2 linked regions of the Anolis sagrei genome follow. The protein of the gene in region 1 interacts with the protein of each later gene in a pairwise test. Links are inferred from orthologs where the notes say so. Each region holds a gene or a part of one and is shown on either strand. Other genes may lie near its edges.

Evidence for each region.
Region 2: the proteins of phospholipid scramblase 2-like (region 1) and MVP interact in a two-hybrid assay, tested with the Homo sapiens proteins (2 studies listed by BioGRID and IntAct). The link is inferred for Anolis sagrei from reciprocal best matches to the Homo sapiens genes PLSCR1 and MVP.

What each region holds. Positions count from the first base shown.
Region 1 is NC_090023.1:239,101,545-239,108,818, forward strand, and holds the start of phospholipid scramblase 2-like, read right to left. Parts: upstream 3,011-7,274; 5' UTR 2,824-3,010; intron 1-2,823. UniProt on the Homo sapiens protein: Catalyzes calcium-induced ATP-independent rapid bidirectional and non-specific movement of phospholipids (lipid scrambling or lipid flip-flop) between the inner and outer leaflet of the plasma membrane resulting in collapse of the phospholipid asymmetry which leads to phosphatidylserine externalization on the cell surface.
Region 2 is NC_090026.1:17,350,277-17,357,808, forward strand, and holds the start of MVP (major vault protein), read left to right. Parts: upstream 1-4,514; 5' UTR 4,515-4,621; intron 4,622-4,976; exon of another isoform or gene 4,977-5,044; intron 5,045-7,532. UniProt on the Homo sapiens protein: Required for normal vault structure. Vaults are multi-subunit structures that may act as scaffolds for proteins involved in signal transduction. Vaults may also play a role in nucleo-cytoplasmic transport.

The DNA.
Region 1 (7,274 bases):
TCTGCTTGTTGACAGGGGGTTGGACAGGATGGCTCATGAGGTCTCTTCCAACTCTATGATTCTACACTGCTGTATTAAAGCAATGACATCATTTTAGCTGCCAAGGCTCAATGCTATGACAGTCTGTAAGCTGTATTTGGGTGAGGCACCAACAAACACTCTCTGGCCAAAAAGTATTAAGACCTTGGGAGCTTCTACACTAGTATTTCACAAACTTTGGTCTTCTAGGTATTTTTGGACTTCAGCTTCCAGAATCCCTGATCACTGGCTCACAAGCGTCTTGGAGTTCTAAGTCCAAAAACACCTGGAGGTGTTTGGGAATTATTAATCTACATGAGTGGAGTCCAATCTTTGATCTTCCGGGTGTTTTGGACCTCTGCTCGCAGAATTTTTTACCATTAGGTGAGCCAGCCTGGGCCCATATAATGGTAAAAAAAATCATAGTTGGAAGAGACCTCATGGGCCATTCAGTCCAACCCCATTCTGCCAAGAAGCAGGAAAATCGCATTCAAAGCACCCCTGACAGCCATCCAGCCTCTGTTTAAAAGCCTCCAGAAAAGGAGCCTCCACCACACTTCAGGGCTGAGAGTTCCACTGCTGAACAGCTCTCACAGTCAGGAAGTTCTTAATGTTCAGGTGGAATCTCCTTTCTTGTACTTTGGAGCCATTGTTCGGTGCCTTAGTCTCCAGAGCAGCAGAAAACAAGCTTGTTTCCTTCTCCCTATGACTTCCTTCACATATTTATACATGGCCATAATGTCTCCTCTCTGCCTTATGTTCTGACGGCTAAACATGCCCAGCTCTTTAAGCCGTTCCTCATAGGGCTTGTTCTCCAGACCCTTGATTATTTTAGTTGCCCTCATCTGGACACCTTTCAGCTTGTCAACAACACCTGGAGGGCCAAAAGTTGGATGGCACTGATTGATATTGTAGTTTGACACTTTAGCTGCTCTGGTTCAACGATATGACACCCAGGGATTGGTAGTTTCACAAGCTCTGTAATTTTCTCGAGGGCTGGTGCCTCACCAAACTACAACTCTCAAGATTCCCTCACATCGTGACAGTTAAAGTGGTGCATTCATCCTACAGTGCATGCCTTGCAAAGTTACAATGCCCATACATAGCCTTGAGCTAGAGCAATTGAGCCATTCAACAAGATAGGTTCCTTCTAAGTAAATGGAGAAGTGAAAAGACTCTTGAATCATTTTAGTCACGCTCCTCTGGACACCTTTCAGCATGTCAACAACAGCTGGAGGGTCAAAGGTTGCATGGCACTGATCTATACTGTAGAATCAATGCAGTTTGACACCACTTTAGGTGACCTGGCTCGATGGTGATATCTGGGGAGTCTCAGTTTTACAAGTTCTGTAAGTTTCTCTGTTAAAGAGGGCTGGTGCTTCACCAAACTACAACTCCCAAGACTCCCTCACATTATGGCACTTAAAGTGGTGCATTCATCTTACAGTGCAGTGCATGCCTTGCAAAGCGACAACGCCCATAGATTGCCTTGAGCCAGAGCAATTGAGCCGCTTCCATTCAACAAGGTAGATGCATTCTAACTAAATGGAGAGGTGGAAAGCCCAGGTTAGGAAGTAGCCCACCGGATGGACAGAGGGAAAATGGGAAAGGGTCTCACCTGGTCGTGAATGAAGGCGGAAGCTCCTCTTGTTTTTAAAATCTAGACTAAAGCAGGGAGGGGGAAACAGGGGGGGGGGGGTTGAGAAATCGAAAGCACTCAGAGAGTTCGGTTTCTGTTTACTTTCCACACAAACACCTTTCTCCCTCTGAGAATATTGTGCTACGTAGGCATCTATGACCACAAGGTGCAACAATTACACTGTAGATTGAATACAGTTCGATACCCTGGCCCAATGCTATGGAATCCTGTGATTTGCAGTTTGGTGAGGCACTACAATTGAAGAGAGCTATTGACAAGCTGAAATGTGTCCAGAGGAGGGTGTCTAAAACGATCAAGGGTCTGGAGAACAAGCCCTATGAGGAGCGGCTTAAAGAGCTGGGCATGTTTAGCCTGCAGAAGAGAAGGCTTAGAGGAGGGTCAACAACATCTGGAGGGTCAAAGGTTGCATGGCACTGATGATGTGAGGAAGTCGTAGGGAGGATGGAGCAAGCATGTTTTCTGCTTCCCTGGAGACTAGGATGCGGAACAATGGCTTCAAACTACAGGAAAGGAGATTCCACTTAGACATTAGGAAGAACTTCCTGACTGTGAGAGCTGTTCAGCAGTGGAACTCTCTGCCCTGGAGTGTGGTGGAGGCTCCTGCTTTGGAAGCTTTTAAACAGAGGCTGGATGGGCCATGTGTCGGGAGTGCTTTGAATGAAATTTCCCTGCTTCTTGGCAGAATGGGGTTGGACTGGATGGCCCAGGAGGTCTCTTCCAACTCTATGATTCTACTAGAGGAGGCCAAAAGACTTTGCAAAACAAGTCCCAGGAGCACAGCATTCGATAAAGATCAGACATATCTGATGTATCTCCTGAATGACCACATCATGTAAACCCCAAGATTCTATAGCACTCAGCCATGGCAATTCAGGTGGTGTCAAACTGCATTAATTCAGAAGTGTAGATGCATCCATTAGCTGGCTGAACTCGTAAGGGAGGAGTGGGGGAAAAGCGTGTTTTTGGCTCTAGAGACACCTCGGCCATCAAACCCTCCGAGTGACCTTCGACAATTCTTTCAGCATTCCCCCTGTAGACAAACATTGCCAAGAAACCCCCGTTGTAGGGTCTCAGCCTTATTTTGGAAACAACAACTATGGAAAGCCTTCCCCAGAGTGGGCACCCCATCAGTTTGTAGTTATTACCTTGTTCGAATTGCTGCTCCGCTTCGTTGCTTTCCACTTCCCTCTGTTTGGCTCAAGAGGAAAGCAAAAGGAAGAGAGGGGTGGTTTACGGGAAGGGCGGATCTGGGGGTGGAGATTAGGTGAAAAAAGCCAGCCAGGAGGGACGGGGGAAGGAAGGCCAGCGAGGAAATAGGCGTCAACAGGCGACCCAAAGGAGAGAGAGAGAAGAGAGAGAGAGAGCGCCTGGGAGGCAGACAAAGCAGAGCCAGAAATGCGATTAGTCCGGCAGCGCGGAAGGAGGCATTCCGGCGTCAAGGAGATGATGTCAGGGATGGAGCCCGGCTGGAAGCACAACGCGGCCCCTAGACGTGCTGTTCCTGTTCGGATCCAAGGGCGGATGCCAACTCCAGGGTGGGAGTCTGAGGAGGCTACGCTTCCCCTACTCAGGGTTTGCAGACCTTGGGGATTATCACCCCCCCCCCTTTATTATTTTTTCACACAAACATAAAATAAACGTAGACACCAAAGTAAACAAACAAACAAACATAATAAACTAATCCAATACAAAAATGACTTTATAATATTCCCACCTTCATTCCTAGCAACTGGGACTTTGGCGCAGCTGGCTGGGCGTCAGCTTCATTAAAATCACTACTGACCAAAAGCCAGCCCAGGTCAGAGTGAGCTTCCGACCAATTTGTGTAGCTTGCTGTCGACCTTTGCAGCCCAAAAGACAGTTGTATCTGTCAAGTAGGATATTTAGGTACCGCTTATGCGGGGGAGGCTAATTTAGGACACCATAAAAATCTCTAGCAAGCATGCAAAGAATGAGGAAGTATTGGGTTGTTGTAGGTTTTTTCGGGCTATATGGCCATGGTCTAGAGCAGGGGTCCTCAAACTAAGGCCCGGGGGCCGGGTGCAGCCCTCCAAGGTCATTTACTCAGCCCTCGCACAGGGTCAACCTAAGTCTGAAATGACTTGAAAGCACACAACAACCCTAGCTCATCAGCAAAAGCAGGTCCACACTTCCCATTGAAGTACTAATAACTTCATATTTGTTAAAATTGTTATTCATGTTAATTATTGTATTGTTTAAAGTGTTTTTTACACAACCAATAAGATATGTGCAGTGTTTAAAAATAAATGAATTCATTCATGTGTGTGTGTGTGTGTGTTTGTTTGTTTTTTTTCAAATTATGATCCGGCCCTCCAACAGTTTGAAAGACTGTGACCTGGCCCTTTGTTTAAAAAGTTTGAGGACCCCTGGTCTAGAGGCATTCTCTCCTGTTGTTTCGCCTGCATCTTTGGCACGCATCCTCAGAGATAGTGAGGTCTGTTGGAACTAGGAAAAAGGGTTTCTATATTTGTGGAATGACCAGGGTGGGACAAAGGACTCTTTGAAACATTCACACCTAGCTCCAGCAGACAAGAGTCCTTTGCCCCACCCTGGTCATTCCACAAATATAGAAACCCTTTTTCCTAGTTCCAACAGACCTCACTACCACTGAGGATGCTTGCCATAGATTCAGGCGAAACGTCAGGAGAGAATGCCTCTAGACCATGGCCATATAGCCCGAAACACCTACAACAACCCAGTGATTCCAGCCATGAAAGCCTTGGACAATACAACAAGGAAGTACTTCATCAGTGTTACAAAAGGACAGTGAAGTGACAGCTTCCCTGGTGGCCAGAATACCCTCATAAAAGAGCTGGAATGTTAAATAGCCCCTGTGTGTCTGTCTATATATGTTGTGTTTCTATGACCTTGAATGTTTGCCATGTATATGTACATTGTAATCTGCTCTGTGTCCCCTGCAGGGTGAGAAGGGCGGGATATAAATACTGTAAATAAATAAATAAACTTAGGCCCCTTCCACACAGCTGCATAAAATCCACATTGAACTGGCAGTGTGGACTCAGGTAATCCAGTTCAAATCAGTGTGGATTATCTGCCTTGATATTCTGTGTTATAGGGCTGTGTGGAAGGGCACTAAAACAACTAAACTCCATCCCCCAGAGAGAGAAGGGGGGAGGGGGGAGTTTAGTTATTCTAGGGCCCATCCTCACCAGATAGATAAATAGATGGAGGTTGGTTGTTTTAGGGTCCTTCCATGCAGCCATATAAACCAGAATATCAAGGAAGATAATTCACAATATGTGCTTTGAACTGGATTATCTGAGTTCACACTGTCAAATATATATACATACACACACAGGGCTGTGTGTGTGTGTGTGTGTTAAGGGTTTTAACTACAACCCCCCCCCCCCCGCCAAACCTGGTTTACTCAAGAATTTTAACTGGTTAACCAAGTTATGAACAAACCAGGTTTCTTTTTTAACCTGACACATTTCAAGGCAGGGTTGAACTCCCTCCCTCCCCCCCCCCCCCCCTCCCCGAGCTATGGCCCTACCACTGACTTAGTAAGCATTGATTGTTGTGCGCTCCCAAGTAACAGAGATTATGGGATTTCATGGGAAAATTTGCCCAGATGAGGTTTCTGCCGAAGCTGGGGCCCCTTCCTCACAGCTGAAAAATATCCCACATTATCTGCTTTGAACTGGAATATATGGCAGTGTGGATTCAGATAACCCAGTTCAAAGCAGATATTTTGGGATTTTCAGCCTTGATATTCTGGGATATAGGGCTGTGTGGAAGGGCTCTGAGAGAGTTTGACTTGCCCAAGGTCACTGAGGGGCCCCCTAGGGCCCTTCCACACAGCCCTGTATCCCAGAGTATCATGGCAGAAAATCCCACCTTTTCTGAGTATGGACTCAGATAACCCAGTTCAAAGCAGAGAATGTGGGGGCCCTTCCACACAGATGAATAAAATCCCATATTTTCTGTTTTAAATTGGAATATGTGGCAGTGTGGACTCAGATAACACAGTTCAAAGCAGATATTGTGGGATTTTCTGCCTTGATATTCTGGGATATAGGGCTGTGTGGAAGGGACCTGAGGCTGAGAATGTGACCTGCCTAAGGTGACATGCTGGGTTTGCAAAGATGAGTGGACATTTGAACCCTGGTGTTCAGAATCCTGTAGTTCACTTTACTATGCCAGACCGGCTCCAAACATAGGTAATGTTAGGGCTAACCATTAAGCAAATGAAGCAAGGCATCAAGGTAAGGGGATACCATACAAACTTTGCATTGCCAGGTTTACCATGGGTCACCATACAGTGCAAAACTGCAAATGATGCAGCTGAACAAGATTCCACCAAAAGGGGCCTCGACAATAAAAAGACTGCAATTATAACAAGTAGGAGAAAAGCTTTTAAATATAAAGTGAAAGGATACAAAATGTATAATTATTTTACTGTAAGTTTTGTTTCATTTAATTTCATTTAAATTTAAAATTTTAGTTTACAGTTTATCATTGTTTACATTTTGAATTAGATTTATGTAGGGACATCAAAATCTTTTAAGTGCTTATGCTTCGGTCACTAAAGGTCAAATCAGTCTATTTAGTCCAGGATTCCAATCACATAGCACCCAATCAGCTGAAGTGCCCCAGAAACTCATATGCAGAGGCATGCTATCTGGTAGTGTTGGCTAAATAAGAATCCTCTTATTAGATTTTCCTTTTCCCAAAGAGTGGTATTCTCCTGACACCAGAGTGCTTTGTCTTAATGGAAACTGGCTGGACAGGAAGGCTGTGTTGCCTTGGGAAATTATAGAAATAATTTCATATATGTATGTGAAAAATATTGTGATTGATATTATGAAAGAGATGCAAATAAAAGAAGAGAGAAGCAGCACATTTTTCATATACAAATGCATATGCATGATTTATCATTAGCATGTCTTGTAGAAAGAAGTGTGTTTTGCATGTTGCTTGCTATCCAAAAACTATGTGTAAAAATGTAAAAGAATAGTCAGATGACAAAGTAGATGAGAACATCTGATTTATGCAGAGCTCATTGTGTTTGATCATATATCACTAGACTGCTGTCCTTCACATATCCTTTATCCTCTCACACACAACTTCTTCAGATCTGGCTAGGCATTCAGATAACTGGACCAGGGAACATTATTGTATAACTTCAAGTGGTTTCCAAAGCAGCTTGAATTGGTTGGATGGAGGTAATGTTTAACTACAGGTTAGGATTAGGGCATATATACTGATTTCCTCACCATGGCACTATTTGTCTTTGGTTGTGGGAGGATTGCATGCTCCTGTAAAGCAAGAAGCTATGCCGATGACAGCAGTGCTGCTAGTAGGGTCTCCTGTGTCAGATAGGCTTTTGCTAAGCAGTCAGGCTAAATGTGCGAGAGAGTTAATTGTTATCAGAAGGAGTGGGGTATGGCATTGGTGGAGGATGTCTCAGAGACAATGGAAGTGGTATCATTGCTCATACGAGGTAGTAATGCACAGAAGGAGGCACAGTAAACCCATTTTGAATGTCGTTTACCATGACAATCTTGTAATGGGACAATCCAAAATGAAACAAAAAGCCATTGACTTTACCTTG
Region 2 (7,532 bases), on another chromosome or scaffold:
GGCAAACATTTAGGTTAGTGTAGGCATGGGCAAACTTGGGCCCTCCAGGTGTTTTGGACTTCAACTCCCACCATTCCTGACCTCAGGCCTTTTCCTTTTCCCCCCTCAGCTGCTTAAGCGGCTGAGGGGGGAAAAGGAAAAAGCCTGAGGTCAGGAATGGTGGGAGTTGAAGTCCAAAACACCTAGAGGGTCCAAGTTTGCCCATGGAATGGTGGGAGTTAAGGCCTGAGGTCAGGAATGGTGGGAGTTGAAGTCCAAAACACCTGGAGGGCCCAACCCATGCCTGGATTAGTGTGTTCGTTTCAGATTTAGTTTTTTATTCAGTTTATTCAGAGGGAGAAAGGTTCCACTAGGTTCAACAAGATTTCCTCAATGGGTAATTGTAGCTACAGTGAGAGAAACAGTGAACCAAAGGGACTCCATTTTGCTTGTCACTATGAGGGTGCCTTAGAGGGAACATTGCCCTTTGGTCTTCTGAGGAAAAACACCCAGGACTGCACCACACTTCAGGTTTGCGCACGACAGCGATGACGTAACCGATCTGAGCAAGAAGGCAAAGAAAATGGCGGGCGGCTTAGCGCCAGAGGAGACACTACTACGACAACAAAAAGGCCGCCTTCTCGCGTGACCAACGCTACCCTTCAGTTGGTCCTTCTGTGAATTAAGGCCCCATTTTAGATTCTTTTTTTAAATAGCTGGGTGAAATTAAAAAGTATTCAAACCCGCAATTTTTGAAAGTCAATTTTTTCAACGCGCATGCGGGGTTGAAAAGCGCGGTGCTATGGTCGGTGGGGAGGTTTTTTTGAAGTGCGCATGCGCCATGTAAGGAAGCCAGGACTGGTAGACGGAGGCGGGTGCTCGGAAAACAATGCGCTCGTGCGCAGAAGGGCTGCTTGACCGACGGGTCGCGCGCCCGGGCAGGTTCTTGTAAATAACATTAAGAGCGCATGCGCGGCCAAAATGGTCGGCCGTTCCAAGACCCATGGGTCCCCAGCGCGCATCCGCGGCAAGATGCCCGAATCCAGGAAAAGGACTGTTCTACGCATGCGTGTGCTCCAAGCAGGGAGACTGCGGGAGAAAGTCAGCGCATGCGTACTGGTAGAGGTTGGCAACTTGCTGGTTGATGTATGACCTCACGTTTTCATGCAATTCAATGGCGCGTGAAATGATTTGCTTTCATTTGAGTGCTGACCCGACTTTATGTATTTAGGACATTTGTATGCCGCCCTTCTCACCTCGAAGGGTACTTAGAGCGGCTTGCAAGATATATACATATATATACATACATACAATATGTTATTAGCATAGTACAATATCAGTATTAAATATTATGTTAAATATTATGATGTTTTATATTTTACTATTATGTTTTTTATTTGATTGTAATTTGTATTGTTATATTGTAATTTTTGTTCGGGCTTGGCCCCATGTAAGCCGCTCCGAGTCCCTTTTGGGGAGATGTTGGCGGGGTACAAATAAAGTTTATTATTATTATTATTATTATTATTATTATTATTACTTTATAGTACTATACCATTATATTGTAATATTATTAATATTACAAGAAATATATATATATAATGCACTGGGATTGTGGCGCAGCTGGCTGAGTGTCAGCTGCATTAAGATCACTCTGACCAAAGGTCATGAGTTCGAAGCTAGCCCAGGTTGGAGTGGGTTTCCAACCATTGTGTAGCCTGTTGTCGACCTTTGCAACCCGAAAGACAGTTGCATTTGTCAAGTAGGAAAATAAGGTACCACCTTAAAGTGTGGGGAGGCTAAATTAACTAATTTATGAGACCATTAAAAAAGACTTCAGCAAGCACTCCAACAAAAAGCATGTGGGGAATGCGGAAGTACTTCATCAGCGTCGCAGATGGACGATAAAGGCGACAGCTCCCCTGGCGGCCAGAAAAAGTTAAATAGCCTCTGTCTATGTCTGTATATGTTGTATGTCAAAATTGGCATTGAATGTTTGCCATATATGTGTACACTGTAATCCGCCCTGAGTCCCCTGCGGGGTGAGAAGGGCGGAATATAAAAGCTGTAAATAAATAAATAAATAAATAAATAAATAATATTCGTATTTTAATGCAATATAATACTAATAATATGATAGTATAATTACATATTTATATATCATGTAATATTAATAATATTACAAATATATTATAAATATATGTATATACACTATATTATATTACATTACATTATATTATAAGCATAGCACTTTGGGAAAGCATGGTGAGGCGGTAGCTTTCATAAACCAAGGGAGCATTTCTATATGAATATTTGGAAATCTGTGCTTTATGGAATAAAAATACGCCCACTGTATCAACTGCCCCTAAATACATATCAATACTGCAAGCTGTCTTTCCACTCTAGTTCTTTGTGTCCTTGCCCATGTATGATAAAATATGTGTGGTAGAAGACTTTCATGGCCAGAATCACTCCAAGCCACATATATTACATATTCTTTACAGTACATTAACATGCAAGAAAGTGGATTATATTTGGGATAGAGCTTATGTTTGTTTGTGTCTTTAAGAACTACCCCGAATTCTCTGTATGGGAGCAAAATGACACAAAGGTACACCTGCCACATTCCCTCTTTTCATCAAGCTGTTAAAGGCACAGGAGCCCTGCCCCATAGCGTTTGTTGTTATACTGCCCAAATCCTTGTCTCTAGATGAGCTTGAGTGCCTTTGAAAACAGGAAAGTAAACAGAACTTACACTAGTTTTTATAGTGTTTGATCAGGGATTGCCTCACCCTTCGCAGTACTTTCTACATGGATCACGGTAAAGAAATATTGCCATTCAAATTGCTAGTTCGACGCAAAAATGATCTCGGATATCCTCGACTCTAATTTGAAACAAGTGATAGTAAAACTTTTAAGTCTTGTTATTGTCTCATATATTTGCTAGTGTGGGGAAGGCCAATTGATTGTCCTGGCACTCCAGCAGATTACGTCGTTGATCCTGTTTGGGATTGGGGGGGGGGGTAGCTATAGAACTGCCCCCTTTGTGTCTCCCCCTCCAAGAATCAGAATTATAAGCGTTGGAAGACACCTCATGGGCCATCCGGTCCAGCCCCCCGCCAAGAAGCAGGAAAATCACATTCAAAACATCCCTGACAGATGGCCATCCAGCCTATTTAAAAGCTTCCAAAGGAGGAGCTTCCACCACACTCCGGGACAGAGAGTTCCACTGCTGAATAGCTCTCACAGTTCTTCCTAATGTTCCGGTGGAAACGCCTTTCCTGTAGTTTGAAGCCATTGTTCTGTGTCTTAGTCTCCAAGGCAGCAGAAAAAAAGCCTCCTCCCTCCTCACTATGACTTTCCCTCACATATTTATACACGGCCCTCATTATGTCTCATCTCAGCCTTTTTTTCTGCAGGCTAAACATGCCCAGCTATTTAAGCCTCATAGGGCTTGTTCTCCAGACCCTTGATCATTTTAGTCGCCCTCCTCTTGACACATTCCAGCTTGTCAACATCTTCCTTCAATTGTGGTGCCCAGAATTGGACACAGTGTGATTCCAGGTGTGGTCTGACCAAGGCAGAATAGAGGGGTAGCAGGACTTCCCTGGATCAAGACACCAGACTCCTATTTATGCAGGCAAAAATCCCATTGGATTCTGTAAGTTTCCAACTTACGGTGACCCTATAACCAGGCATACAATGTGTCAAAGACATACAACAGCAACAATGTGGCAAGACTGGAGACCATATGAAATCGCAACATGATAGGGGTGTCTGATCTTAACAGATTAGAGAGATGGGCCAAAACTAACAAAATGAAGTTCAACAGGCACAAATGCAAGATACGCCACTTAGGCAGAAAAAATGAAATGCAAAGATACAGAATGGGGGACCATACTTGGCTCGATAGCAGGACGAGTGAAAAGGATCTTAGAGTCCTTTTTAGCTGCAGTATCACACTGTTGACTCAGGTTCAGCTCGTGGTCTACTCAGACTCCTAGATCCGTGTATCTTCCATGTGAAGGCTTCCATGGTCGGAATCACAGGGTTGTTGGAAGTTTCCCGGGATGGATGGCCATGTTCCAGAAGCATTCTCTCCTGACGTTTCACCTGCATCTATGACAGGCATCCTCAGAGGTTGTGATCCCTCCTAGATCCCTTTCACATGAACGATCGCCATAAGTTTCACACCCCATCACTCAGTGAGTTTTAAGGGCCAAGCAGCGTGTTCTCCCAAGTTGTCCAATGTCGAAACCACAAACATCTTCATCATGCAGCATAGAGACCCCATTGCCCCATACACACATACACATGCCATCTTTTGCGGCCAAGTCATCTTCATGCAGACCTGAATGAAAAGGGGTTGGCTGCACTTCAAAATGTATTGCAAGTATCCCTCCTCGCCATTCAGTTGTTGGGTACATTCCCTTATGCCTGCTTTGCCATTATGATTTGCCTATGTTTTCCAATGACTCATGTGTAAAGGAGAATATTTCATAATCTGCTTGCCCTTTAACAGGCTCTCTTCCCCACAAGAGTTTGCTCCTCCTCTACCAGGAAATAAATCTTTAGGGAGGGGGGATTTTTGCCTAACCCACAAGAGGATATAGCAGAAAGAGAAAACAAGCTCTCTTGCACGGTAAGGTTTCCTTCCTTCCCTCCTTCCTTCCTTCCTTCCTTCCTTCCTTCCTTCCTTCCTTCCTTCCTTCCTTCCTTCCTTCTCTTGCACCTTCCAAGTGAGAAATGGGAGTCTCCCACTGTTTTCCAGGTCTCACTTCCTTCCCTTGTAATTTATTTCTCTCTAGAGTTAGAAAGTTGCTTGATTAAAGACTGTATGAGATCTCAGGGCTATAATGATTGCTCAGAAAATGGGTGGAGAACTTCTCTTTGCCATAAAGCAGTCCATCTGACTCCTTGAGTAATGTGGACTCTGATTCTTCCTGTTGGTTTCATTGCATAGAAATCTGAATTTGCCACCTTTCTCCCTGTTCCAGCTCAAGTTGCTCTAGGCTTGTCCAGGAGTTAAGCCTGAAGTTTACATTTTCAGCAGGATTTAGGTCTGGTAAGCTCATTTCCTATCATTTCCGTGATCAGAAGAGTCATGAGCTGCTAGTAACGCATAGCCATGGGGAGGGTTATTCTAGTTACTGGAAGTAGGTGTGTCCCTGTAATAGGACCTCAAGGGTTTTCTGTATCATAACTTCCCGATACAGGCCAGGCTGGTTTCCTCAGTTTGTTGAAGGATTAAACACAATAAATGTGTTGCGTTACAGTGGGCATTGGGTGTTTCTGGATTCCTCAAAGCCCTGCCAGTTAGTGGTTGGAGGAGAGATGAGCAAGAGGACAGGGTGTGTCTGCCCTACAGCTTCTTACCCCGCTAGGCACATTACAGATTTGCTGGATTTCAGTTCCCATCATCCCGAGCCAGTAGACACCACATTGTCTAAGGGAAATGGGATTTAGAGTCCAAAACACCTGGAAGGCAATGGGTTAAAGGCCATTGCCATAATGGCGTCTTCTCTCAAACTGCGTGCATCAAACTCAAGGCCCACTGGCTGAATCCAGCCCACTATGTAATTCTGTGCAGCTCTCCAAATGCTGGACTACAACTCCTGTATTTATCTATTTATTTATTTACCTTATTTACCGTATATACTCGAGTATAAGCCGACCCGAATATAAACCGAGGCACCTAATTTTATCACAAAAAACATGGAAAACGTATTGACTCGAGTATAAGCCGAGGGTGGGAAATGCATCCACTATGGGTCAATTTCAAAATAAAAATAGATACCAATAAAATTACATTAATTGAGGCATCAATAGGCTAAACGTTTCTGAATATTTACATAAAACTGTAATTTAAGATATGACTGCCCAACTCTTATTAAACCATTATTCTAGCCTCCTTCAATGTAAATGTGCTTATTATTAAAATAATAAATATAATAAAAATAATAGAGTAAAATAATGAAAATGCAATAAAACAATAATAGAGTAAAATAATAAATGTAGTAATAATAGCACAACATACTATAAATGTAATAATAATAGGGTAAAATACTGTGAATGTAATAATAAAAATAATAAAAATAATAATAATAAAAAGATTAAAATAATAAATGTAATAATAATAATAGGGTAAAATACTGTGAATGTAATAATAATAATAATAATAAATAGATTAAAATAATAAATGTAATAATAATAATAATAATAATAATAATAGAGCAAAATAATAAATACAATAATAGAACAAAATAATGTAAATATAATAATAATAGAGTGAAATAATAAATGTAATAAAATAATACTAATAACAGAGTAAAAGAATAAATAACCTTGACTCGAGTATAAGCCGAGGGGAGCTTTTTCAGCCTAAAAAAGGGGCTGAAAAACTAGATTTATACTCGAGTATATACAGTATATCCCGCCTTTCTCTACCTCGAGGAGGACTCCAGGCAGCTTACAGTTGGCACTTACATAATGCCTCACAACATACAATAGTGACTTAAAATAAATTGGAATAAAAACTAACATATTGAACATAATAAAATACATTCCAGCCAGTGTTAAAAATACACCATCCATAATCCAGAGTCTAAGGCCATTTCGTAGTCAAATTGCACATTATTCCACATTAAGGTTATTGTACTGCATTAGTTTTCAAAAGCCTGCTCCGAGATCCAGGTCTTGACTCTCCTTCTGAAGGCTAGGAGGGAGGGGGCTGATCTAATATCCCTCAGGAGGGAGTTCCATAGACAAGGGGCCACCACTGAGAAGGCTCTGTCTCTCGTCCCCACCAGCCATGTTTGCAAAGCAGGTGGGACTAAAAGCATGGCCTCCACAGATGATCTTAATTCCCAAGATGTATTTCTCCTCGTTAGATATCATGACTAGAACTGATGGGAGTTGTGATATAGCAACACCTGGAAGGCTGCAGTTTGTTCTGTTTAACCAGGACAGCATGGTTCGAATTTAGATATAAGACTTGTGGATATGAGGCCTGACTTTAAAACCTTTAATGTTTTCCCAACCTCAGAATCTCAAATGCGAATGGGTTGCAATTCCCATTATCCCCAGTATGCATGGCAGATAATAAAAAGTTATGGGAGTTGTGGATCAATAACACCTGGGGGCCCAAATTGGGTAAAAAGTCAAGAGCACCAACCACTATGTAAAATAAATTATAGTTGGCCTTCTGTATCCATGGATTTTCCCTCCATGGAGTCAATGCCCCAAATATAAGGCTGATGTTGCCCTCAGTGAAAATGAGTTTGATATCCCTGTCCCAGAGGATTCTAATCTAATGCTTCATTCCTTCTGTAGTCGTCTTTACTTTGAAAAGCCAGACTTGGCTACGGTGGTCCACGCCTTAGTTACATCCAGAATGGGCTACTGCAATGCACTCTATGTGGGGCTGTCTTTGAAGACGGTTCAGAAGAGCTGCAGTCAGTGCAAAGATGGGCAACCAGATTACTAACTAGGGCTAGTTATAGGGAGATACTCTGTCCCTATTAAAACAGCTCTACTGGCTTCCAACAAGTTTC